6 linked regions of the Oryzias latipes genome follow. The protein of the gene in region 5 interacts with the protein of the main gene of each other region in a pairwise test. Links are inferred from orthologs where the notes say so. Each region holds a gene or a part of one and is shown on either strand. Other genes may lie near its edges.

Evidence for each region.
Region 1: the proteins of washc3 (region 5) and beta-taxilin interact in binary tests that used the Homo sapiens proteins (3 or more experiments, as listed by UniProt). The two-hybrid records come from large-scale screens. The link is inferred for Oryzias latipes from reciprocal best matches to the Homo sapiens genes WASHC3 and TXLNB.
Region 2: the proteins of washc3 (region 5) and hsbp1 interact in binary tests that used the Homo sapiens proteins (3 or more experiments, as listed by UniProt). The two-hybrid records come from large-scale screens. The link is inferred for Oryzias latipes from reciprocal best matches to the Homo sapiens genes WASHC3 and HSBP1.
Region 3: the proteins of washc3 (region 5) and pre-B-cell leukemia transcription factor-interacting protein 1 interact in binary tests that used the Homo sapiens proteins (3 or more experiments, as listed by UniProt). The two-hybrid records come from large-scale screens. The link is inferred for Oryzias latipes from reciprocal best matches to the Homo sapiens genes WASHC3 and PBXIP1.
Region 4: the proteins of washc3 (region 5) and txlna interact in binary tests that used the Homo sapiens proteins (3 or more experiments, as listed by UniProt). The two-hybrid records come from large-scale screens. The link is inferred for Oryzias latipes from reciprocal best matches to the Homo sapiens genes WASHC3 and TXLNA.
Region 6: the proteins of washc3 (region 5) and ift20 interact in binary tests that used the Homo sapiens proteins (3 or more experiments, as listed by UniProt). The two-hybrid records come from large-scale screens. The link is inferred for Oryzias latipes from reciprocal best matches to the Homo sapiens genes WASHC3 and IFT20.

What each region holds. Positions count from the first base shown.
Region 1 is NC_019880.2:1,123,869-1,126,287, forward strand, and holds part of beta-taxilin, read left to right. Parts: coding exon 1-100; intron 101-1,443; coding exon 1,444-1,535; intron 1,536-1,602; coding exon 1,603-1,773; intron 1,774-2,419. UniProt on the Homo sapiens protein: Promotes motor nerve regeneration. May be involved in intracellular vesicle traffic.
Region 2 is NC_019864.2:28,979,185-28,983,454, reverse strand, and holds hsbp1 (heat shock factor-binding protein 1), read left to right. Parts: upstream 1-1,470; 5' UTR 1,471-1,587; coding exon 1,588-1,632; intron 1,633-2,307; coding exon 2,308-2,374; intron 2,375-2,510; coding exon 2,511-2,635; 3' UTR 2,636-2,637; intron 2,638-2,720; 3' UTR 2,721-3,589; coding exon of another isoform or gene 3,590-3,692; 3' UTR 3,693-4,146; downstream 4,147-4,270. Other genes in the region: DNA topoisomerase I, mitochondrial, read right to left, coding at 3,590-3,692. UniProt on the Homo sapiens protein: Negative regulator of the heat shock response. Negatively affects HSF1 DNA-binding activity. May have a role in the suppression of the activation of the stress response during the aging process.
Region 3 is NC_019869.2:891,970-896,179, forward strand, and holds the start of pre-B-cell leukemia transcription factor-interacting protein 1, read right to left. Parts: upstream 2,801-4,210; 5' UTR 2,466-2,800; intron 2,435-2,465; exon of another isoform or gene 2,270-2,434; intron 1,922-2,269; 5' UTR 1,866-1,921; coding exon 1,794-1,865; intron 1-1,793. UniProt on the Homo sapiens protein: Regulator of pre-B-cell leukemia transcription factors (BPXs) function. Inhibits the binding of PBX1-HOX complex to DNA and blocks the transcriptional activity of E2A-PBX1.
Region 4 is NC_019869.2:26,633,968-26,637,971, reverse strand, and holds the start of txlna (alpha-taxilin), read right to left. Parts: upstream 2,801-4,004; 5' UTR 2,673-2,800; intron 2,640-2,672; exon of another isoform or gene 2,623-2,639; intron 1,738-2,622; 5' UTR 1,733-1,737; coding exon 1,585-1,732; intron 1,123-1,584; coding exon 868-1,122; intron 782-867; coding exon 690-781; intron 1-689. UniProt on the Homo sapiens protein: May be involved in intracellular vesicle traffic and potentially in calcium-dependent exocytosis in neuroendocrine cells.
Region 5 is NC_019881.2:17,521,068-17,525,174, reverse strand, and holds the start of washc3 (WASH complex subunit 3), read right to left. Parts: upstream 2,801-4,107; 5' UTR 2,652-2,800; coding exon 2,601-2,651; intron 2,285-2,600; coding exon 2,186-2,284; intron 1,500-2,185; coding exon 1,434-1,499; intron 1,343-1,433; coding exon 1,205-1,342; intron 53-1,204; coding exon 1-52. Other genes in the region: zinc finger protein 252, read left to right, coding at 3,489-3,528, 4,040-4,107. UniProt on the Homo sapiens protein: Acts as a component of the WASH core complex that functions as a nucleation-promoting factor (NPF) at the surface of endosomes, where it recruits and activates the Arp2/3 complex to induce actin polymerization, playing a key role in the fission of tubules that serve as transport intermediates during endosome sorting.
Region 6 is NC_019871.2:17,867,205-17,871,327, reverse strand, and holds the start of ift20 (intraflagellar transport protein 20 homolog), read right to left. Parts: upstream 2,801-4,123; 5' UTR 2,668-2,800; intron 1,731-2,667; exon of another isoform or gene 1,617-1,730; intron 704-1,616; 5' UTR 696-703; coding exon 569-695; intron 501-568; coding exon 415-500; intron 1-414. UniProt on the Homo sapiens protein: Part of intraflagellar transport (IFT) particles involved in ciliary process assembly. May play a role in the trafficking of ciliary membrane proteins from the Golgi complex to the cilium.

The sequences.
Region 1 (2,419 bases), on a different chromosome or scaffold from region 5:
ATTCCAGCTGAGCCAGAGGATGCAGAGGAGGTCACCGCCGCCAAAGAGGCAGACGGCCGCAAGGACCAGAAACTGGAGAAGAAAATGCTGAAAAATCTAGGTGTTTTCTTCGTCGTGTTGGATTCAGCCTATTTGACTAAAGAAATGCTGTTAGTGCAGTGTGTGTGTAGGTGGAATAGTATTTGCTAAAAGGAAGACTACATCCTCTGCTTTAATTCTCACCATTTGGTTCTAAAAGGTTCTAACGGTCAGAACCAGGTCAAAGAGCAAACTTCCATCCATACCTTCATTTTCTACACTGGCTACTTCCTGTTTAGTTGCTGGTCTGTCCAGCTGCTATCGGGTTCACCCGGTCAGTTCGCCGGTCCACCACAGCGCCGCCAAAACACCCGCCGTGTAAAGATTCTGTTTTCTGAAGGAATTTCCGTTCAATGGGCTGAACTTGAAGTTCAAACGTTAATGGTTGACCTCACAGAAGCTTTAGGGAGCTTCGGGTCCAGAACAGGCCCAGATAACCAGACTTCCACCACTGTGCTTAACAGTTGTCTGGAGGTTTTTCCGTTTAACGATCTCCTAGTCCAGTTTTTTGTCATTGACAGAGCTGTGAATTATGACCAAACATCTCCATGGTTCACATCCTGGTCAGATATTGTTTTGGACCTCAGCACCACCATATGAGCCGCTGTTAGGTGGTCCACTTCAGTCCCAAGAGCTCTACAGACCAGAGCAGACCGAACCAGACTTTACCTGCATTTTCCCGCCTTTTAACCCTTGTGCTATCTTATGGGGTCCAGATGACCCCACCCTTACATTGACGTGTTCTCCCTACCATAACAAAGGTGGAGAGGATTTCATGGACACCAGTGAAGATCACAAATCATTGAAGAAAAAAGGTTCAGTGCACTGTCTAGTGGGTCTAGATGACCCAACTCCCATCGTTAACGTGCCTCGGACAGCACAAGGGTTAAACCAAGTCTGCCCCTCTCTTAGGGGGATGGAGACCTCAACGGAATTGGAATAGAGACGAAAAGGTTAATCTCACATAACTCATGTTCTGCGAGTGTCGCGCCAGAGTCACGCGTTTGCAATTAAGGAACCGCAACTCCATTTGAGTTTATGTATCCTTGGCGCAACAGCGAGCTCCCGTGATTTTAAGTAGAAACTGAAACCAACGTTTGTATTTCCAACTTGCAGCAGTTGAAATAGAAGTTTTTTTATCAGAACAACACTGCTCTGGTCTGTAGAGCTCTCGGGACTGAAGTGGACCACCTAACAGCGGTTCATATGGTGGTGCTGAGGTCAACGGAGGTACTTGGAGTTTGAGATGTTCCTCTGAGTCAAATAAACCCAGGACAGTTGACAAATGTCCTCCTCTCTTCCACTGCAGAATGATTCTCCTGGTGTTGTTGGGTCAAATAACCCTAACATTGTGTGTTTGTTCAGGGAAGGAAGCCATGCTGCTCATGCAGAGTCTGAACAAACTGGATTCTCCTGAACAGAAGCTGGAGGCCATCATAAAGAAGCACGCTGAGCTGGTGAGGAAGGTTGACCCCGGTGAGGGCTGACGCCAACACACACGCTAACATGCTAACCTGTCTGCAGCTGGAGGAGCACCGCAGTGACCAGAAGCAGCTGAAGCTTCTGCAGAAGAAACTTCTCCAGGTGCTGAAGGAGAAGGACCAGCTGCAGGGCGAGCACAGCCGGGCCGTGCTGGCTCGCAGCAAACTGGAAGGGCTCTGCAGGGAGCTGCAGAGACACAACAAGACTCTGAAGGTAAACCGGCCGGGGGGGTCCAGTCTCTGCTCAAGAGCCGTCAGAGGAGCAAGACGCCGACGGTCATTCGAGATCTCCAACAGGGAGTAGGAGGAGATATTTTACAGCTTCAACTTCCTGAATCCTCAACTAAACCAGAAAAACAACCAGACAGACAGAAGAGAAAAGATAGAATTTAAAACAAAGACATTGAAATCAATCCTCAAATTATGAAATCAGTGTTTGATTGATCCACTGATGTTAAATGAGGTGATCTCTAAGATACTAAAACAAAATATTAAAACAATGTTTTTCTATGTTTTTAAGGTTCAAGAAGGAAACTTTCTGCTTCTGTAAGGCCCAAAAGGAAAACATTTGATCTGATTTCCTTTGATTTCTAATGACAGAATAAAGCCGTTGACTAATCAGAAGGAAAAAGGTGCTCAAAAAGGACCAGGTAGAAGAAAAGCCGTATAAATCCTTCCCCAATCTTAAAAAAACAACTTTAAAACTTTCAAAAGAAGTCCCAGAAATAATCATAAAAAACATTTGATGCCATAAAAGAAATAATGAAAAATCCTGACGTTGTAGAAAATATAAACTATACTTAAGCAGAATACAGTTATAATAATTAAAAAATACTCAGAGGGGAGGTTCAGCTGTCGGT
Region 2 (4,270 bases), on a different chromosome or scaffold from region 5:
AATCCAATGTGCGTTACAAGATCATCTCCACATTGAATCAGGTTTGGAACTCACACACACATGACGGAAAAAAGAAATATTCAACACTGACATTCCTACACAGCAGAAATGTGGCTCTCTAAGGGAGGGGTCTGCCAGTCTGCAGATAAGTTTAAACTGCAGACAGCATCTCGTCTTACTAACAGTTTCACTGCAGCTGCTGTGGACACCGATAGTTGAGTTACACAGATGACCTGCCTGCTTTCAAAACACCCTTAAAGCTTTAGCTCCATACAGCGTACCCAGGGACTTTCTCCCTTGTGTTGTGCCTACAAAAGCATGAGGTGCGCATGCCAAGAAAATACAGGGAGGTTACAAAGGAGGTGGGAACATTTTTTTAAAGTATAACTTGACAAAGATTTCATTCAGAAAATCGTGCCAAACTCAGCTAAGACGTCACCACTGCTGTAACTTAAGCAGCGCTTAATTTTGAAAAGACAAGAACAGCAGCAAGACATTAAACACCAAACCTCAGCATTATGGCAGGAGTTTGAAGAGCAAAAGTCACGTCTAAGTTACATATAAAGCTCAGTAATTGTTTGCTTCTGATAAAAAAAGTTACAGGTTATAATCAGTTAGACTAGGCACAAGCCTGGAGGAAGTTAAAACCCGTTCTAAGGGAACCTTTGCACAATTTATTCAGTACTGTGAGGCTTCTGCTATTTCCTTTTGTTTATGTGTTGAAAGTAAACACTAACAATGGAAGCTGAAATGTACCGAAGCTTCTTAAAAGAGGAAACTCAATGTTATGTAAGCGGAGCATATTTTCACGGGGTAGGGCCAGCAGTGCCTGCTTCTTCATGTCACTCAGGACTTCCACACACATCCATGCCGGAGCTGCTGCTCCTTTGGGACAAACTCAATACAGCTGCAGTCTCGTTAAAAAAAATAAAACTTCAAGAATGATGCATAAAAACCACGTGGTAAGCCTGAGTTTAAAGCAACCGTGAAGTTTCAGCCTATTGCACGCGTGCGTAAATCTGAACTTTACGCAAACAGCCGCATTTCTGATGCACAACAGCACCGTCAGTTTTCTGCTTTACTCACCGATCGCCTTCAGTCCAACAGAACTTTGCCGTCTCCCGCAGTGAATTCGGCGTGAAAACCCGCCGAGTTATCCCGCAGCTCCAACTTTCAAATCCCAACTCGCTGAGGAGGAGGAGAGACGTGTGCGCGCATCCCCACACACACACGGCTGCGCATAAACACACACAGGTCTAGAATTTCCGCTTCAATCTTACAGCTTCATGTTTTTCTTTTCATCTAAACATAAGAACGTCAACTGATTTTTCAAATGTGTTATTATTTTATAAATATACATACAACCTAATGTTTGTCGTCAATCCACAGCATTATTTGTATCGAAGGGTTCTGCAAATTCACCGATCTCAGCCCATGAGCAAATCTCGCGAGACTTGCCGTGTTGTGGCACAGCTGACTCTCCCGTGGGTGGTACAGGCGAGCAGAACCTTGAGGCTAAATAATCGAATATAAAGCGCCTTAAATTTAACCGCCGTGAAGGTCCGGACATACAGTTTTATTCACACCATGGCTGAAACAGATCCCAAATCAGTGCAGGACCTTACTAACGTGGTGAGTTTGGACCGTCAAGCTAGCTAGGACTAGCTATATGGATGTAGCTAGCAATGCTAACTATACTGCTAACAAATCAAATGCAGGTTGCATCTAAAGGAGTATTAAGTTTGATTCCTTTTTGCCTTTTCCCCCTTTGTTTTACCACTTGACACCTAAATTCTGATCGATCTCACTAAATATTTATTAGTTTATCACCATATAAAAGACATTGTTAGCTGATTAGCACTTCATCCTGACTAATTTAATTTACATAAATCTTCTTTAATCAGCATTTTCAATAACAAGTATATGAATTTACATTTTTATTGTAATAATAATAATCAGCAGTTCTCGCAACACCCAGGTTACTTCTGTTGGTGTGGATACCAATAGTGTTGCCATGGAAATGAACCAAAACTAAAGGTCTAAGTTGCACCTCTACCTACTAAATCACAGACTGTATTCGATTCTTCTGAAACATTAGGTGTTGATTAGTGTGTTGACTGGAAGATGAAGGTCTTAGCTCCTTTTTAGTGGTTTTTCTCTCACATGCAGCTATGTCCAGAGTGGGGTATGTGAGGAGGGGACTGAGAGGGCGGGAAGCGCTTTTGGGCCGCTCACAGCTTGATCTTGTACTGTTTCTTGTTGGGTTTGACAGATTAAAGTTTGTGGCCTTCTTTTGTTTTTCTAAAGGTCCAGACGCTCCTGCAGCAAATGCAAGACAAGTTCCAGACAATGTCAGACCAGATCATCGGGAGGAATATCCTTTTTTGAAAGCCAGAGCTCTGATGGTCGTCTTTACATTTCTCATACTCTACATCAAATGTCCCGGTGTCTTTTTCTACAGGACTCCAGTTTGCTTAGAAAAAAAAAAGATTTGCCTTAACAGTGTCCACTTGATGAGATGAGCACACGAATCGATGACCTGGAGAAAAACATTGCTGACCTGATGACCCAGGCTGGTGTGGAGGAGGCCGAGGCGACACCAGAGAAGCCGAAGGAGAGCCAAGGATCATCATGAAGGTGAAGAAAAACGGTCTACCCCTGTAGAATTTCTTTGTTCTGGTAGATTTCCTAATCAGCTTTATTTTCTGTCTGTCCCACAGGGTCAGAAATGATGTGAAGTCAAAGTTCTTTACCGATGACTTCTGATTTGGTGTGAAATGCTTTTTTTAAATATATATATATATAAAATGGTTTAACGGTTTACAGTTATGTCATGATGTGAGAAGTGGAGTAGTAGTAATCTGAATTAGTGTGACCTGCCCTTCAGAATTGTGTATTTGGTGCCCTGACCTGGACGTTCGAGCCGCCAGCGTCGGTTCTTCTCTCCGGTCCGTGCTTGGTAACGGGCCAGCAGAACCTCATCCCAACACGATGAACCGCGAACACCCGGAGCTCGCAGCGCAGCACTGTTGGCAACGAGATGCAGAATGCATTCCATTTCTGATTTTCTATTAAAGCGATGTACGGAGCAGTTTCTCCTTTTTGACCAGGTGCTGATAAATAGACCACGGTGCTAAGAGTTTCTACATTTTCTCTTATGAGGCAGAGTCGTCTGATGCCACAGACCTTTCATAACTACTGAATTCATCCGATCTGCAGGTTCAATGCTCTTTGTTGTTCATGAATTTGTTGGATTCTGACGTGAAATGAGCAGAATTGGAAATGTGCCACTTAACGAGTGTATAACTAAGATTTTGCCAAATTGAATGATTAAAACATCCCTTATTTTACCGCATGGTAGGAACCTTTATTCAAGTGTATGCAAACAAAATGTAACAGACCGTCTTCAAACCAAAAGTAGCAGTAAACATCCATTAAAGTGCAGCTTGATTATTGAACTGCAGTAGTAGAACCTCAGCACTTCATAAACATCCCCTCAATACAATATTCATTTACTCTACATGGGATAAAGCAAAAGGTCCCTGAGCTGCCACTTGGTGTGAGTTTATACGTCTGTGGAAGTTCAGTTTCAGAACTCGAAGTCGTCCTCCGTCATGTCGATGGCCCAGGCGAACTTTTCCCGTTGGGTTTTGTTGTAGATTTTTTCTATAGGCACCTCCATGTTCTTACACCTGATTAAAAACAAGAACAGAAAAGCGTTCAACCACAAACAACTGAGTATTACAACTGCAGAAGAAAAGTCTTAAACATACAATGGGGTGAAGAGAAACCTTGAGTTTATCGTCCTGAACGTTTTTCAAGCCAAACTTCACCAAATCGTTGCAGAAGAAGCATTTCTCATCTCTGGTTTAGCACCAAACCCCACTTTCCTTTGGTACAAGCAGCATTTCTATGAATTCTGAAGTCTTGGAACAATTGGCTGATCTCTATAGAAATCAGGTCGGTCACATGGTGAAACGTCAGATCAGTAAACTGGAGGATCTGTTGTCTGAATGAGATCAAGTGACCACAGATCCTAAGAGCCCAGAATCAAAGTTAACGGATGGAATCTGGACATTTCAACACTGCAGCCTAAACCAGAAACTTAACAAAATGTGTTCTTTACAATAAAAATCTATTAAAACATTTCTGTTTTTGGGTGTGTGTACGAGCTGGATTCGCAGTAAAATAAGGGTTTGAGTGACGGGGCTGTTCTGCCCACTCAGACGTTTCTGAGGATCGCTGACGACCATCAGACCGAGCTGGAGGT
Region 3 (4,210 bases), on a different chromosome or scaffold from region 5:
ACATAACCTTGAAAATGTTACTTTAGGACGGAATAGTTACAAAACCGACTCTCCACTGGATATCAAGATAAAACAAAGCAAGTTTAGGAGCCAACTGAAGATTGCCTAACAGGCCCAATAACTATACGAGCATGGCTACTAAACCCAATGCTAAAGCTACAGCTAATGCTAGAGCTAAAATGCTGTTTCCACATGACTACTGCACGCCTGAGGACATGGAAACAAATGCTAAGGGGACAAAAAACAGCGTGGCATCACCTTTGAAGCCAGCTGCGCCACAAAACAAGCTAAGACCAGATGCAACCCGCTCTCTCAGACCAGGAGAAGCCTCAAACGCCGCAATCTTGGCTGCAATTGAAAGCCTCAAAGGCATGATGATGGACTTTAAGTCGGAGCTGCAGCAAAACACTCTGACTATATCCACCATAGCCAAGGCTGTGGAATTAAACTCTGCTGAAATCAAAGAATGTAAAGACAGAAATAAAAAGTTGGAAGAAGAAGTGAAACGTCTGAAAGAGAAAACTGTGGAGTTGGAGCAGAGAACATCAGAGATGGAAAAGAAAACATTGGAATCGGAAAGATACAAGAGAAGATGGAACTTGAGACTAAATGGCGGTAAAGAAGAGAAAGGGGAAGACACTGGAGGAATTGTGGCAGATCTCATCACAAAGATCGCACCACCCTGGACAGAGAAAGTGGACAACATTCTGGACACGGTACACCGGCTGGGCCCAACCGACGTCAACCGCCCTCGTCAAATCATCATTCAGTTCACAGGAAGGAGATACAGAGACGAACTGTGGCGAATGACTAAACACCATCCAGTCTGTCCAGACCTCAACATCCGCTTTGCAGAAGACCTCATCAAAGAAGACAGAGAGGCAAGGAAAGCGGTGTGGCCCAAAGTTGAGCAGGCGAGAAAGAATGGTTGTAAGACAATGTTTCGTGGTCCTTATGCTTTCATTAATGGTCAGAGAGTCATTCCATGACTTTAGTTAGTCTTGCAATTTATTTAGTTAAGATGGTTATTGTAAATTCAAGGTTTTGTTGCTTAAAAGTTTTTGTTCAGTAATACTTTCAGCCTCATTTAGGTCTGTTAAGTTTGCCTTTTTGTTACATGTTGCACCTTAAAACAGGTATTTCTTTACTTTATTTAAATGCAAGAGGTCTGAGAGATCTAACAAAGAGAAAAAGTTTATTTGTTTTTTGTTTTTTTTTTATTTTGTAAAGGGAAAAATGTTGATTTTGATTTTTTTTTACAAGAAACGCACTCTACAAATGCAGATAAATCATTTTGGTGTCAGCAATGGGGGGGGACAAGGTTTCCTCCGTCATGGCAATTCCAGATCAGTAGGGGTCGCTGTACTTCTCCAAAACTTCCAAGACAAAATTGTGTCCCATATAGCAGATGAACACGGTTACTGGCTGATCATCATAGTAGATATTGATAAATTCCCAATATTCGAGACCATTTATTTATCTGTTGTACCCCCCTGCATTTTATTATAACATAATCCAACTCTGGAATTCTTGTTTCCTTATGTTATACTTTTCCCTAATTTCTCTATGATTATGACTATGGACAGGTTTATATATGCATACTGATAAGAATTTTTGTTTTGTTTTTTTGCTTCCTTTCAAATTGCAGTATTATTTCTTGTATTCGCCATATTTTGTTAATTTTATGTAAATGTTCTTGTGTTGTTTTGTATTGTGTTCAATAAAGCAAAAAAAAAAAAAAAAGTACTGCCATGAACCTGAGGTGACGTCATCGCGACTCCGCCCCTGCTCACCTCGGGAGAGAGGAGGGTCCAGCTGTTGGTTGAGGAGCCGCTGCTGCCGGTGCTGTTGCTGCTGTCCGACATCGCCCCCTTCAGGCCAGAATCGGTACAGCAGGAGGCTGGTTGGCTTTTCGGATGTTCTGCGCATGACAACAGCAGCCTTCAGTTTAACATACCAGAGCCGAGATGCCTTGTGGGACTTCACGGTTGCCGCTCCAGACGCGACGGTAGCGGACGGCGGAGCGTGCGCGGGGTTCTAAGCCGTTACGTAACCGGCGCTAAGCTGCTCTGCGCACCGCGGATAAGCGGCCGGTGGTCGTTACGCAACATGGTATGAAGCTGCTGCGCAGCGGAACATTGCAGACATCTGGACTTCTTCCAATAAATCTGTAATCGATCATTCTGTCTCATGATCCATTCATCCAATAAACCGTTATCGACCGGAGCGAGAACGCGCTGATCGAGAGCGCGCAGAACGCCATCCTCACCTGTCCACCGGGGTTCCCTGGAGAACCTGCACCGGTCTGAACCTTCACTCCCGGAGATAAACAAAGGAGCCCAAAAACTCCCAATCCCGCACTTCCGTGTCCCCGCTCAGCCCCGCGCCTCACAAACACGCGCTAATCCCCCCCTCCTCCTCCGAGCCCGGAGCGGCGCTGTCAACCCGGGCCGACCCGGTCCTACCTGCTCCTGTGGACCAGAGCTCTGCAGAACCTTTTCCTGGGTCTTTTCTGCCAAAGGAGAACAGATTTCTCCTCCAGAGAACTCGAAAACTTTGGGAATTCCAAGCTGCGTCACATCAACCTTGAATGCTGTCCTCCAATGGGATTTCAGCAAACGCCTGGGAGCGCCCGCCCCCAAACCACTGACGGGCCAATCAGACGGTCACGTGGTGTCACGGAGAACGACATGCAGGCCAGCGTGATTGACGCATCCAGGTGAAAACGGCAGGTGAAGGCCGAGCTTCTTCTTCTTCTTCTTCTTCTTCTTCTTCTTCTTCTTGGTGGGTTTGGTTGAAAGCGCGCGCCGTGGCGTGGGGGCCCTTCCTTCCCTCCACATGTATATATAGGCGGGTGGGAGCAGGTCCCGGTCCAGCCCGGGACTGACACGTCTGCAGAACTATATTTGACTGTGGGACTTACCCCCGTGGAGAACCCCTGCACTCCGATTTCTCCTCTGCAGACACTTCTGTCATCATGTCAATCATCTGAAACCCACAGGGTCAGAAAATGACAGGATCAGTCAGCGAAAAGAAGAAGAAGAAGCAGAAGAAGAAGCAGACATCCTTTTCCATGAGAACACTTCTCGGCCTTTTATTAAACTGTAATGTTTAAGTAGAACGTTGATTTTCCTGAACCGTAATAAAGCTTTTTAGTGGGAACTCAACACACAGGAGTCCTCTGAGGGAGTCAGAACCTCCCTCACTGTAATTCCATCCATCCCTCATTCCCATTTAGGGTCATTTAGAGCTAAACAACCAAGATATTGCCCCAATATAAACCAACTCATGAATGTACAGGAACGCCACAGCCGTCTTTTCTTCTAGAAATCATTGCTGTGACAGAAGAAAGCTCACACCTCACTTTTCTGTCCACATTTACTGAAATCAAGTTGGTTTCAAGTTATTTTGTAGAATAAAACAAACAAGTCAGACAATCCCTTTTCTCTTATAGAGACCGGTAAATTGAATTTGAATAGTAGGTCGGCATCTAAGTGATAAGATATGTATTTAAACAAATCAATACTAAGAGTGGTTAGAAACAACAGAAACTGACAAGATTGTTGGGTACAAAGGGATCAAATTGACCCAGAAGTAAATAATCAGTCTCTGGTAACCTTTGTCTTCCTGTTGTGTCTCTACTGTCTGTGCATGTATGTGTGATGCAAACAAACATGTTCAATCACACGCGTGTTTTTACCAATCCTAATTGGCAGAAGGTGAACCACAGTGAGGTTTATGTTCACTAAACACATGATAACCCTTTTTTCACGGCACTGCGAACATGCTTTAGTAAAGTAATGACAGACTTTGATATGACATCAACGGACAAGACCGTCTGAAAGACCCGAAATGTCAGGTTTGACTCTTTTAAAGCACTTATGTCCTTTAGACTCTTTTTTTGTTACTTAAAAATAAAATCAAGGAGTTTCTCTGTTAAGACGCATTTCATTTATAGTGCAATAACAGACGTGGATTGTTTCCATTTTAGTAAAAAAGTTTATGATAAAATTGGACTGTATCGCATCGCCACAAAGCTGGTTAAACCTTTGATATTTTAAACTCATGGACCACGTATGGAGATGTGTTTGAACCATGTCAGAAGAAAGGTACACACTCTAAGCTAAGCGTTAAAAATAAAATAATCCAAATGATTTGCAATTATTCTGTGGACCATTGCTTTTTTAAAGGTTTTTGAATGTGATTCTGA
Region 4 (4,004 bases), on a different chromosome or scaffold from region 5:
AGCTTTAGAAGCAGCCGCGGGTTTGATTCCGGCAGCCGTGGGTTTGATTCCGGCAGCCGCGGGTTTGATTCCGGCAGCCGTGGGTTTGATTCCAGCAGCCGCGGGTTTGATTCCGGCAGCCGCGGGTTTGATTCCGGCAGCCGCGGGTTTGATTCCGGCAGCCGCGGGTTTGATTCCGGCAGCCGCGGGTTTGATTCCGGCAGCCGCGGGTTTGATTCCGGCAGCCGCGGGTTTGATTCCGGCAGCCGCGGGTTTGATTCCGGCAGCCGCGGGTTTGATTCCGGCAGCCGCGGGTTTGATTCCGGCAGCCGCGGGTTTGATTCCGGCAGCCGCGGGTTTGATTCCGGCAGCCGCGGGTTTGATTCCGGCAGCCGCGGGTTTGATTCCGGCAGCCGCGGGTTTGATTCCGGCAGCCGCGGGTTTGATTCCGGCAGCCGCGGGTTTGATTCCGGCAGCCGCGGGTTTGATTCCGGCAGCCGTGGGTTTGATTCCAGCAGCCGCGGGTTTGATTCCAGCAGCCGCGGGTTTGATTCCAGCAGCGGCGGGTTTGATTCCAGCAGCCGTGGGTTTGATTCCAACAGCCGTGGGTTTGATTCCAACAGCCGTGGGTTTGATTCCGGCAGCCGTGGGTTTGATTCCAGCAGCCGCGGGTTTGTTTGGGGTCACATAGATCTGGAGAAGCGGCTTACCAGTTCAGCGTACTTCTTGCAGAGGCCGGTGAGCTTCTCCTCCGGAGTGCTGAGGGTGTTCAGCGTCTGCATCAGAAGGGTGATCTCCTTCCCTTTAGAAGAAAACCAGAAGTAGCGTCAGAGCCATCTTTAGAAGAACAGAACTGTTTGAAAACAGACAACGTCATCTTGTCCTCACCCAAACCTTTGACTTTTTTTTTCTCCTGAGTCTTCTTCTGCTCCTTCTCTGACTTGTGACCGCCGTTGACTTTGCTGTCCTCAGACTTCTCGTGTTCCTTCTCACAGTTCAGCCCGTTCAGCACCAGGCTGTGCGACTGGCCATTGAGCAAGGCACCAGCGTCTTCTGACTCCCGGCAGTAGGTGCTGAGGATGTCCTCCAGCTGCCGGCTCAGCTCGTCTGCCATATCGGACTGAGACATGGCAGCCTCTGCGTCTGAACACATTTCAGATCATTTCTCTTTTTGAAGTTCTTACAGAAATGTTGTGATGGACATACAGGTGTAACGATAATTGTCCTGATTCTGATTATTCCAACCAATGATCATGTGTTTTAGTGTGACATCATCAGGTTGATCTGTCAGTGCTGAGACGGGTATCTGAGACTTTGATCAGGCAGCAGCATGAGACTACATTCATGACCACTGCACGGCGGCATCTGCACAGCTGCGTCTGCACAGCAGCAACTGCACCGGGGCGACTGCACAATGGCGTCTGCACAGCAGCAACTGCATCGGGTCGACTGCACAGCTGCGTCTGCACCGCGGCACCTGCACCACGGCGCCTTTCTCTGATAACCTCCAAACTTCAGCCTCCCAGGAGAACACAGTCTTACTCAGTGAATGCTCAGCGTGGATAACTCTTCATCAAATGCTCTTCCTCGCAGGGCACCGCTTACCTCCTCCCCCTTGGCTTTGTGGTGGGGTATCAGTCTCAGGACTCGTTGAGGCCGGACTGCCTTTAGCAGCTGCCTCCGGATCTGCAGGTGGGGGTGCAGCTGCCTCAAAGGCCGGGCTGGCAGACTCCTCCGTGTCTTCTTTCTTCATGTCTGCTGAAAGATTGAAGAGGACAAAGATGGCTGGTGAGGGGCGGTGAGATGCAGGAAATCACAGTTTTAGCATAAACCTAAACATTCACGTCGTCGTTTCCCATAACTGGACTTTAAACCTGTTTTTGTGTCATGAAGACGGAACTCAAATCAACAACCTTCTTTTACTGAGAACCACATCTGCAGATCAGACAGCAGTTCAGCCAGGCACTCATGATGGGGGGGTCAGGTAAACGTCCAGAGGCAGCGTGCTGGATTCAAACCCACAACCAGGTGTCACTGCTGACCGCTGATTCCAAATGAGGCTTTGATTATACAGATTCCAGTTTCCACAATGCTTTTCTAAAACCAAAACTGACTGTCCACGGCACAGGGAACATCGCCAGCGTACGTCACTACGTGTCCAGTGTTGTTAGATCCTTTCTTTGTTCTCCATGGATTTGGTTCTGACACACGGCCATGTTCACTAAAGTTCCGCAGAATCTGCAGCTGGACTCAAGAAAAGCAGATTAAAAGTCCAAATTCATTTGAGTTTAAACTCGCTGTAAACACACGCGCGCTCTTTGGCTCACCTTAACCCCACCACCCCACTGCGCCTGCGCACAAAGGTTCGGCAGATTAACAAAGTGTACAAATTGTCATTTGGGGAAAACATGAATGTTCTGGTTTTTTGGTTGTGAAACTGAAATCTTACGCAGCGACAGCTTCGTATGACACCGATTTCCTGAGAGGATCTCTCCAGTTTTAGGCTAAATTAGCATATTTAGCTGCTACATGATGTTTCTAAACGAACATGATGATCTGATGATGACTCTGGGCTGGCGTCGTTAGTTAATATACCTGTCCGCCTTAGCCCGGTAGCGACATGGCCGTAGACAGACAGATTACCTGTATATAGGTTTCTACCACACGCCGGTAGGTAATGCCGAGGTGCCTACCTGAAGACTGCGGGAAGAAACTGTTTATATGTCTCAGAATTTCAGGTTTCGATCTCAGCGTGAGACTGAAGCTAACTTCCGCTCATAACTTTAGATTCTTCTTCTCCGCGTCAGATTCATGTCGCTGTTGCAGTTTGGCGCCACCTGCTGGATGAAGGAAGGAAGTGCAGGAATAATGAAACAAAGCCTCAAACCTCAGACGTTGAACAATCTACAACTATTTGTTAAAACATAAACTCAGTTATGAGATGGAAGCATTTCTAATCAAATGTATTCACAAATTAAACTAACTTTAAGTGATGCATAAAATTCACCCCCAAGAGTGAGCACATTTTAAATGTATATTTTTTCAACTATTTCCGCGTTTAAATAATGTACTTTTTTGTAAAACTGAATTTTGGAAATATTTAAACAAATAAACCAGAGGAAAAATCCAAAGTATACATTTTTAAATCATGTTTACCTGTAAATAATCAAATTAGATTTATATTTTCATATAGAAAAGGGGCAGGCTTTTTCATAGCTGCGTTGTCTTTTTTCTGAATTATAAACTAAATAAAGCAGTAGTTTGACAGAAGAACTCCTTTTGTCCAATCAGGACAGACAGAAGTGAGCTTGTTGAGGCTTCCTGAGTGTTTCTGTAGACCCGTCAGAATCTGAAGATGATCCTAAGTGTGGAATGAACTTTCATCCAGACGCCTCCTCCACAGACTACAGGGTAAAAATAAAGGCGTAATAAATCCTGAACCGTATTTAGGTTCAAAGGGAACAGACTTACACGACTGAGAAATGAAACCAACCAGCTTGAAAGGGTTGCAACATAACTTTATTTGTTTTGTACAGTATTTTCTCGGAACATTTTAAATTCCATATATTTTCTTTACATTTTACAGCATGTTGCAGTTTCCTGTTTGTGTGTTCATGTTTGTGTGTCGTGTTCAGCTGAAGTGTGTTAGTCTCTCATTCTTACAGTCGGTAAAGTCGAGTCGGGTCACAGTATAAGATGGGTAATTTAGAGCAAATGGAAAAAAAAACATGAACTATATATTATATATAAACAAGAAAAGAGAAAATAAATATGAGTCAAAGACAGCCGACCAGAGCAGAGAATCCACCGGGACCGGTCCGTTTGTCAAAGTATCTTACAAACAGCACTGTAAACATTTGCAGCATAGACATCACTTGACTGAGCCAAGCATGGCTTTAGATTTTCAAAAGGACACCAACAGAGTGGAGGACGGAAGACAATGAGATCATTTTGAGATTTGTGTTCGCTCCCCTTCAGGGGTCCTTGCCGCTGGACTGGAACGGCCCGGTTCCTCACAGAACCGC
Region 5 (4,107 bases):
CTGCAACGGCTGCTGCTTTTTGCTCAGGAGCTTCTTGTCGTGCCTCCTGAGGCTGAAGCATGAAGAAACGTTGAAAAGCAGCTTTAAAGGAAACTATAATCCTGATGAATATGGCGAAAATAATATCTGTACACTAAACAGATGCTCAGAATGTTTCTGTAACGCACACAGGCAACCAGATCCCTGCTATTCAGTCTATATTACTAACTGGTTCCTTATTTGTTGTGTAAATAAAGCAAGATTGGAAATTTCAAAACTACAAAAGAGAAATATGTGGGTCAAATCGAGATCAGCTTGAAGGGAATGAAAAACCACAAAGTAAAATTAAAAACAATTGAGAAAATTAGTGAACAGTTTTAAATTCAAAAGTACACTTTGGTTATTTTAATTAAATTAAATTTTAAAAAATAAATAAGTAAATAAAAGTACATTCTCAACTTAACATAAACCTAAACTTGTCATCAATTCAGAATTCTGACTGTTATCTGGGGCTTTGAGCCCATTGGCTACCTGGACATGATTGACATCAGGTCATAAAGGGTATGATGATGTCATTTCCGCTCCACAACAGCGGTAGTTGTTGGCGCCGCCTGTGTCATCCCTCCTCTGATGTGGCGAACAGTAGTGATAATTCTCTCCCAAAGTTTGGTACATCAATACAAAACAGCAGCTGTTACAAATATATGTTAATTTTCATTTGGTAACAGTTATAAGTTTATAGTTTTTCTTTTTAATTTTAAGTTTCAACTTAAAAAATTATTTTTCAAATTTTCTATATTCCTCTCAAGTTTAAAATCTTTTTTTTTTTTTCAAAGTTACAATTATACTTTTCACATTTACAACATTTCTTTCACATCTGTTTTTGAGTTTAAAACAGTTTTAAATTTTATTTTTTGTGTTTTTTCCTTCACTTTAGGTTGATCTGGATTTGACCCCATAGGAATTCTACATTACACAAAAATTTTGTAAAGCTATTTTAGGATTATTTTCATGTTTGTCATAAAATAAAATAAGAAAATCAATAGAGATAATTATATATTAAAAAAAACTATAGTAAAAAGGTAAATCATCGGTCGACCTTTCACAATATGAATGTACCATAATCCTTATGTATCAGGTTTGAATCTATAAATTTGTGAAAAACTGTGGGGGAAGGGGGGGTTGGGATATTTGTGTCTTTTTTATAACAAGTCTGAACACTCACCACTGAGGAAGGAACTGCTCCCACTGAAGACCCATCTGTTTGGATTTGACTGGTTGGAGTGGGCCCATTTGTCTGCACACTGTGCTGCTGGTTCAGTCCATCTACTGTGACCTCCTCCAGCCCGGGAATGGAGGCCAACTGCTCCACAAAGACAAAAAACAACAACAAAAACATTTGTTAAAAAAAGAAATGACATCCATGACAATTTGAAAAGGGTGTGACAGCTCACCTTAGCCTCCAAAATGCACAAGGTGGTATCAATCTGCTGGATGCGAAGGGATATGTTTGCAAGTTTCTGTGGGGGAAATGTTGATATTTTGGATTGATCGAGTTCCCACCATGAGGGCTTCACACATTTTGACACTGATAAATTCAAAGTCAATCGAGTTTAAAGTCCCAATCATCAACTTTTGATCTATATTGAATGTGTTTCCATTGGTCTTTTAACTATGTTAATGTTGTTTTTTAGGCAAAAATGTAAAAAAAAACAAAAAAAAAACTGTTGTTCGACAGTTGGTGCAGAGTAAGCCCGCCCCTACTTCCTATCATCCATCTGTTTACATGCTCTCCCCAAGCTTACAGCCCCTCAAACACCCGTAAACTGACATTAAGAGGACAACAAAAATGGCGAGCAATTTTGGAGCTATCCAGCCGTACAGTTTAGAGCCAGATTCCAGTTCAGACGGGGAAAACAGAGACATACATGGATCTATTTGTCTGCAACAAATGGATGCATCAGCATGGAGAGGAGCAGGAAGCTTGTGACCCATCCGCCGCATTTTCTACATCACAAATACAATCTTTTTCAAACTGCATTTTTTCGTCTGCTCCCGATTTACAACAATTTGAATTAAATAATACTCAAAAATGCAATTGTAAGCTTAATTCCCTTAAGTATATTGAGATGAATCCCACAAGAAACACGTTAAATACAGGATTTCCATCAAAGTGGGTCTTTAACGATGTAAAAGATGCACAAACCTCTTCACAAACTGTGGAAAATCGGTTCAGGAATCGAACTGTGTGGACAACAAACTGATTGAGATAGGCAACAATTCGTCTCTGCTGTATAGCTGGAACCTAGAAGGGAGTTTAAAGTCATTTAATCAGGAAAACGATGACACATGAGAGCGAGTCCTATCAGATTCTGGAGAAATTTAGAGTCATGCTTAGTGCCAGCCTTTACAAAAACATGCATTTTAAAGTAAAAGAAAACACGAAAAATAATTCTGCAAATACAAAATCGTTGGGAATATTGATTGAATCCTATTATAATGTGATTAAAATCATGTTTATTATCCCATAAAGTCTTACTTGACTAATCTTTCAGCTACTTCTTTCATTCCCACGGAGATCTACAAGCGAACCATGACTGTTAGCTAAAAAAAACACAAACCTTCGTGAGGTCAACTCCAGACCCCACGATTGGCAAACCGTCCTCGTCCATGCTGGGTCGTTAAAACTCCGCGCAAACGTCCAGTATCGTTTATAATCTGTCTACATGGGGTGTAAATAAAGAAAACAGCACATTAAAAAGGTTTGTAGTGAAGGTTTCATGTGACTTGCGTAATTACGTCATAGCGCGTCCTATTCCTCTTGTCACTTCCGCTATATTGCACCAATGGCCTAACACTTCAGCTTTTATTTTGAAAACTTTAAAAAAATGTGTCTAAATAGAAAAATAAACAAAAAATTAAATAAAAAGAATTACAAGAAGAATGGAGAGGATTTAAATAAAACTACAAGGATATTTTCAGGTCAATGAGTAGAAAAGCCCATTGAGACGACTGTTGTTTTGAATTTTGGCTACACAAATAAAATTGAATTGAATTAAATTGAATTAAATTGGATCTGAAGTTTAAAATTGATTAAATAATAAATATCAACACTTAAAACCCTAATTCCATTTTATAGCACTGTTATTTCACATCTGGTTTAAAATACTATAAAGTTTAGTCAACAACCAACTTTATCACTGCGGTGAAACGTCTTAGTTTTTGGGCATTTAACTTGTGCACATAATCTATTGATAATACATTTAAAACAATACCATCTTAAATAAAAAAATATACATACTGAAATATTCGTGTTTATTTGCGAATATGCATAAACTACATAACAATGTTTTCGATTTTGAATCTGAAAACTCTTATTTTGAAAGCGGAACCCTCAAAAACATTGGAGGAAACGATGTTTGCGTCCCAACAGCGCATGTTAGCTAGAAAAACCAATAAAAAATATTTTTTTACAGTTACTGTTATTTTCAGACTTTTAACGCTGGACTATGCAAATGGACGTTTTTGGGTCAAAGAAGCAAACTAATCGTAAGTGTATTCAGATTAATAAATGTAGTCGTAAATCACGTTTATGCTTTGAAAATACTCTTTGGGACCCGACTAACTTAAGGAATGGTGTGGAGTATAAACTGGCTAACTGTTAATGTTGATGAAATCACAGGTAGTTTTTTTCTGTTATGTGATACATTACGTTTACAGACCAGTTGTACTTTTTATTGTTGTTGAATTTTAATCGTTTCAGTCAATATATTCCCATGTTAAATCGTTAACATAGATGTAAATCCAGCATTTATTTCAATTTCATAACAGATCATGAAAGGCACATCGCCAATTTAGCATTTGTTAAGGTTAAGAAAATTCTTTTTTAGACAATTTAATATCTTAAATTTAAAATTCAGCACATCATTTTTTTATTTGTAAGGTAATGCTACTTTTGAGTGGGGGTTTTTCACCTCTAGTAGTAGCATGAACATGCCTAAAAACAGGCTAATTACTGCCCTCTATAGGCAATATTTTGCATCACACCTTTCTTTTTCAGACCCCAGCTTGCCTCTGTCATCCCTGCGTCTCTTGGTTCCCCCTCTCCAGCTTTTGTCTGCTGCTGTG
Region 6 (4,123 bases), on a different chromosome or scaffold from region 5:
CAATGAGGAGCAGTTTTTGTTTGATCGGGTTACTGAATGTTTGACATAAACTAAAAACAGTAAATCAAACGCAGCTCCAGCAGCTTTTCCACCACAACATGTCTGTCAGGAGGAAACTGGGCAGCTTACCAGAAGGTGTTGGAGTTCCTCCAATGTAAATAATGTTAAATAAAAGTTTGGGTCTATTTTACTCATTCCAATTGAATTGTTAAAACTGGTCCAAAAAATCTACAAAAAACAGTTTTTCTTTAATGTGAAGTAAATAGTTTTTTCCTGCTAAAATTGGTTACTTTTATTATAGAATAATTCAACTGGTTAAATCTATTACTTATAGGATTAAGTACTGGGTAACTATAACTGCCAACACTGATGAACTGTAGGTTTTGACCTAACCTGAGAAGAGGGGAGCCTCACCTTCATCTTTTCAGTCTCCGCCTCCTTGGCCAACCCGTCCACTGTGCTGATGAGACCGCCCACAATCTTCTGGAATTGTCCGATCTCTGCAGAGACACAGACCTATAGGAGCTTTGGGTGGGACGGGGTGGACAACAGATCCGTGGATTCTTACTGTCCACAAACTCTCTGCACTCCTCCTTCAGCTCCGCCGTGCTCTGGCTCACATCTGGCTCTAGAACCCGCAGCTTGTTTACCTCGTCAAAGTGGAAGCCAGCTTCAGCCAACGGATCTTTAGCCATGGAGTCTCCTGTGGGTCAAATATTGTGTTATTTCCAAAACTCCTCAAACACTCAGCACCAGTTTAACCACCTGACAGACGCAGGAGTTTGATCCACAATGATAAACACTCTTTATAAAGTCTAAAAAGAAAAAAAACATCTTTTAAAATGAAAAAATTATTATAAAGAGTTGTTTCACATATGGATGAATGTATGTAGGCTAGATTTGACTTTATCCTTTTGGATGTAACGGACACTGAAGGACTTGGGACTGATGCTTACCGTTTCTTCCATTCACCATAATACTTTACTGACCGTACCAGAGTTACCAAACATGCTGATACAGTCCAGTGATGTCTAGCGTCAGCCACAAGTCCAGTTATGGACTGTTAACAACCAGCAGGAGTTTAGAAAGATACAATTACTGCCTTACAGGACAAAGATTGAGAAGTAATTTGAAAGCTTTGCATTTTGGCTTGTCTATTTCTTTAACACAACAGATAAATTCCGCAACTGCATTACTTTAGTCCAGTCCAGTAGGACAAAATAATATAATTTACCATAGTATTATGTACTTGGAAGCTTATGAACAGACCTTCAGTCAGTGTTAAAAGTTTTCAGAAACAAATGGAGGAATGAAGATGTCTGTCCAACATTCCGAAACCGCATAAACAGATGTTTATTTAAATTCAAAACTCTAAAATTGCGCTTAAAAGCTTTTACAAAAATAACGTTTTAGCAAATAAAAATAACACACAAATTACACCCATTCCAATTTGCTTCCACACGCCTCTTCACCTCTGAGCTATGTATTTAAAGTCCTCCACCTTCTTCTCCTCTGCTCCCTGTAACCTCACCGTTCCTCTTTAGTTCCTCTCATTTACACATTCAGTCTTTCTGGAGCTAACCTTCATTCCTCTCCTTTCCTGAACAAACCTTTACCTCTCTAAAGTGTTCCTCCTTCTGCTCCCTGCGCTCACTACAGATCCACAGGTCATCTGCAGACATCACGCTCCACAGAGATTCCTGTCAGTCCTTCTGTCAGTCTGTCTAGCACTACAGCAAACAAAAAGGATTAAAGCTGATCCTTGGTGCAGTCCAACCTCCATCCCCCCTGAACAGATGAGTTCAGGATGGATTAATCTGATTAATAATAATAATAACAATAATAATGAAGTGTTTGTGGCAGTTTGCGTAATTGTGTGGCTCTGTTATACCCTCTCTACATCCAAAAAGCGTCAGAAACAAAATATACATTGTTTAGTTTTTGAGCTGGGCTAGACTTTTAAACATTAAAATTAGTGAAATGCTGCCTCCAGCGGTCTTTCATAGCACTGCAGTGTTGGGTACTTCCTGGTTTCGGGGGGGGGGGGGGGGGGTAGTGTTACTGTACAAATTGTTTTCATCTTTATTGTGAATCTTAGTCCATTTAGCACCAATTCAATGAATGAAGATTATTTATTTTAATTTCTACATTTACACCTAAACAACCCCCCTTCATGTTTTTAACCACGTTAAATGATTATCGCGCCGTTCAAAGCTGTAATCCATGCCACAAGAATTGTTTTGGTGACTAATCTGCACACATTGTTTGTGTATTTTAGATAATAAAGTTTTCTTTAAAAAAAAATCTATGGGTGACGTCACAAGCATCGATTTTCTACACTACAGTAAGAAAATACGTCAAAAATAAATGAATAAATAAGCAACAAACTCAGACTAGATCTGAGTAAACAAGAACGTTGAGTTTTTCTGTCCCGGCGACCTCAAAAAATGCCTCTAAACTTGGAGCTCCACAGTCTCAGACTTTGGCAGAAGTGTTTGTACACGTTGTATGAACCTCTCAACCATCTTTTTTTCCCCTCTTCGATTTTTTGCGGCTAACAGCTAACGAGCTAATACGTAGGAGATGACAAATTAACAGCTGTTAGCCTCCGTTAACCATTCGTAAAGAATAGTAAACTAAACTTTGGTTGTGGAAACGGACACTCACCTTAATAAACCCCTGACGTTACTCTGCACGGCTCCGGTCCTCCTCATAAGGGGTCCTACTAAGACGTTCCGCCTCTTCCTCCTCCTGCTACCAAGGCAACCGCACAAAGCGCCACTACGCGTGCGCACTAGCTTACCGCCGACCTCTGGTGGTACACATTCTCGAGAAGTCTTTTTCACGTGTTTCTGATATTATCGTTCATTTAAAAACAAGAATCAATTTACAGTCAGTTTTAAAGCCACCATGTGCGCGTGCAATCATCAGGTTCATCCTCATAGTTAAACCAGGTTAGGCTAAACACCCCAGTAGGTAGACCCACCCAGCGGTAGAAGTTTAGACAAGTCTGGTTCCTTTCGCAAGTTCAAACGTCATGACTGGATGAAGAGATAAGCTCAAAGAACCAACTAGTTCTTTATGAATTGAGATGATAAGACATTTTTTAAAAGACATTTTCGTTCACTCATAAGAACACTTTAAAATGTACAGACATGGATGATGTGGCTTCACTGAAACTTCAAGTGGAAATGAGCAGCAGCTATCTAGACCAGCTGGAGGCGCCAGAGGGGAGCCCATCTGCCTGAGATACATTGTTACAGTGATCCAACGGGGATGTAATGAAAGCATGGAATACTGTTTTATGTTTTTTTTTGGAAAAAATGCACAACTGACATCTCTCTTTTCCCCTTCTTGACCAATTGCAAATTTGTCACATGCAAGATATGACACAAAATCAATACAAGTGTAACATACAAAGAGGATGCACACATGCTTTCATCAGTAGTACATACCTTAAAATCGTAGATTTTTATCAAGGTGTTTATGGGCTGTGTTAAATTTAAAACTAATACAAACACTAAAGAAAAAATATATCCCATTCAGAGTATGTTTTCCTGCATAAAAAACTTTCTTAAGCAGGAAAAAACTAGAAAATCAGATCAACAACTATCAGTATCATTTAAACGCTTTATTAAAGAACACTGTCCCAAAAGTCCCCTTTTTGCAGCATTACTCAGATATTACACCTTTCCGTCAAAACCTTTCATCCTGTATCTGTTCATCCCCTAGTTCTTCTCTGAGACTTCCACTGCAGGAGATAGAAAAAAAAATTATGCATTTGTTAATTAGGCCTTTCATGGAAAACATGGAGGAGTTTTATGGCTGGGGGGGGGGGGGGGGAATCGGAGAACTACTGAGTGCTGCTGGAGTTGTTAATAGCTACAAACATGCTCAGCTGAGGCGGATTGTGAAGCTGGCTCAGGTTCATGTCAATGTAGTTGGAGGCTTCTCAGATAGATCAGGAAGCTTTCATCCTGATATGTCTTGTAGCTGCTGCTCACTGTTAGATTTTTTGTTTTTATTGTTATTACTGCTCTGCACTGGATTATCTCATGGTGTGGATTGGTGGACGATTTACCTGGTTTGTTCTTACCTGGACTTTATTGGCACTGTTGCCTAA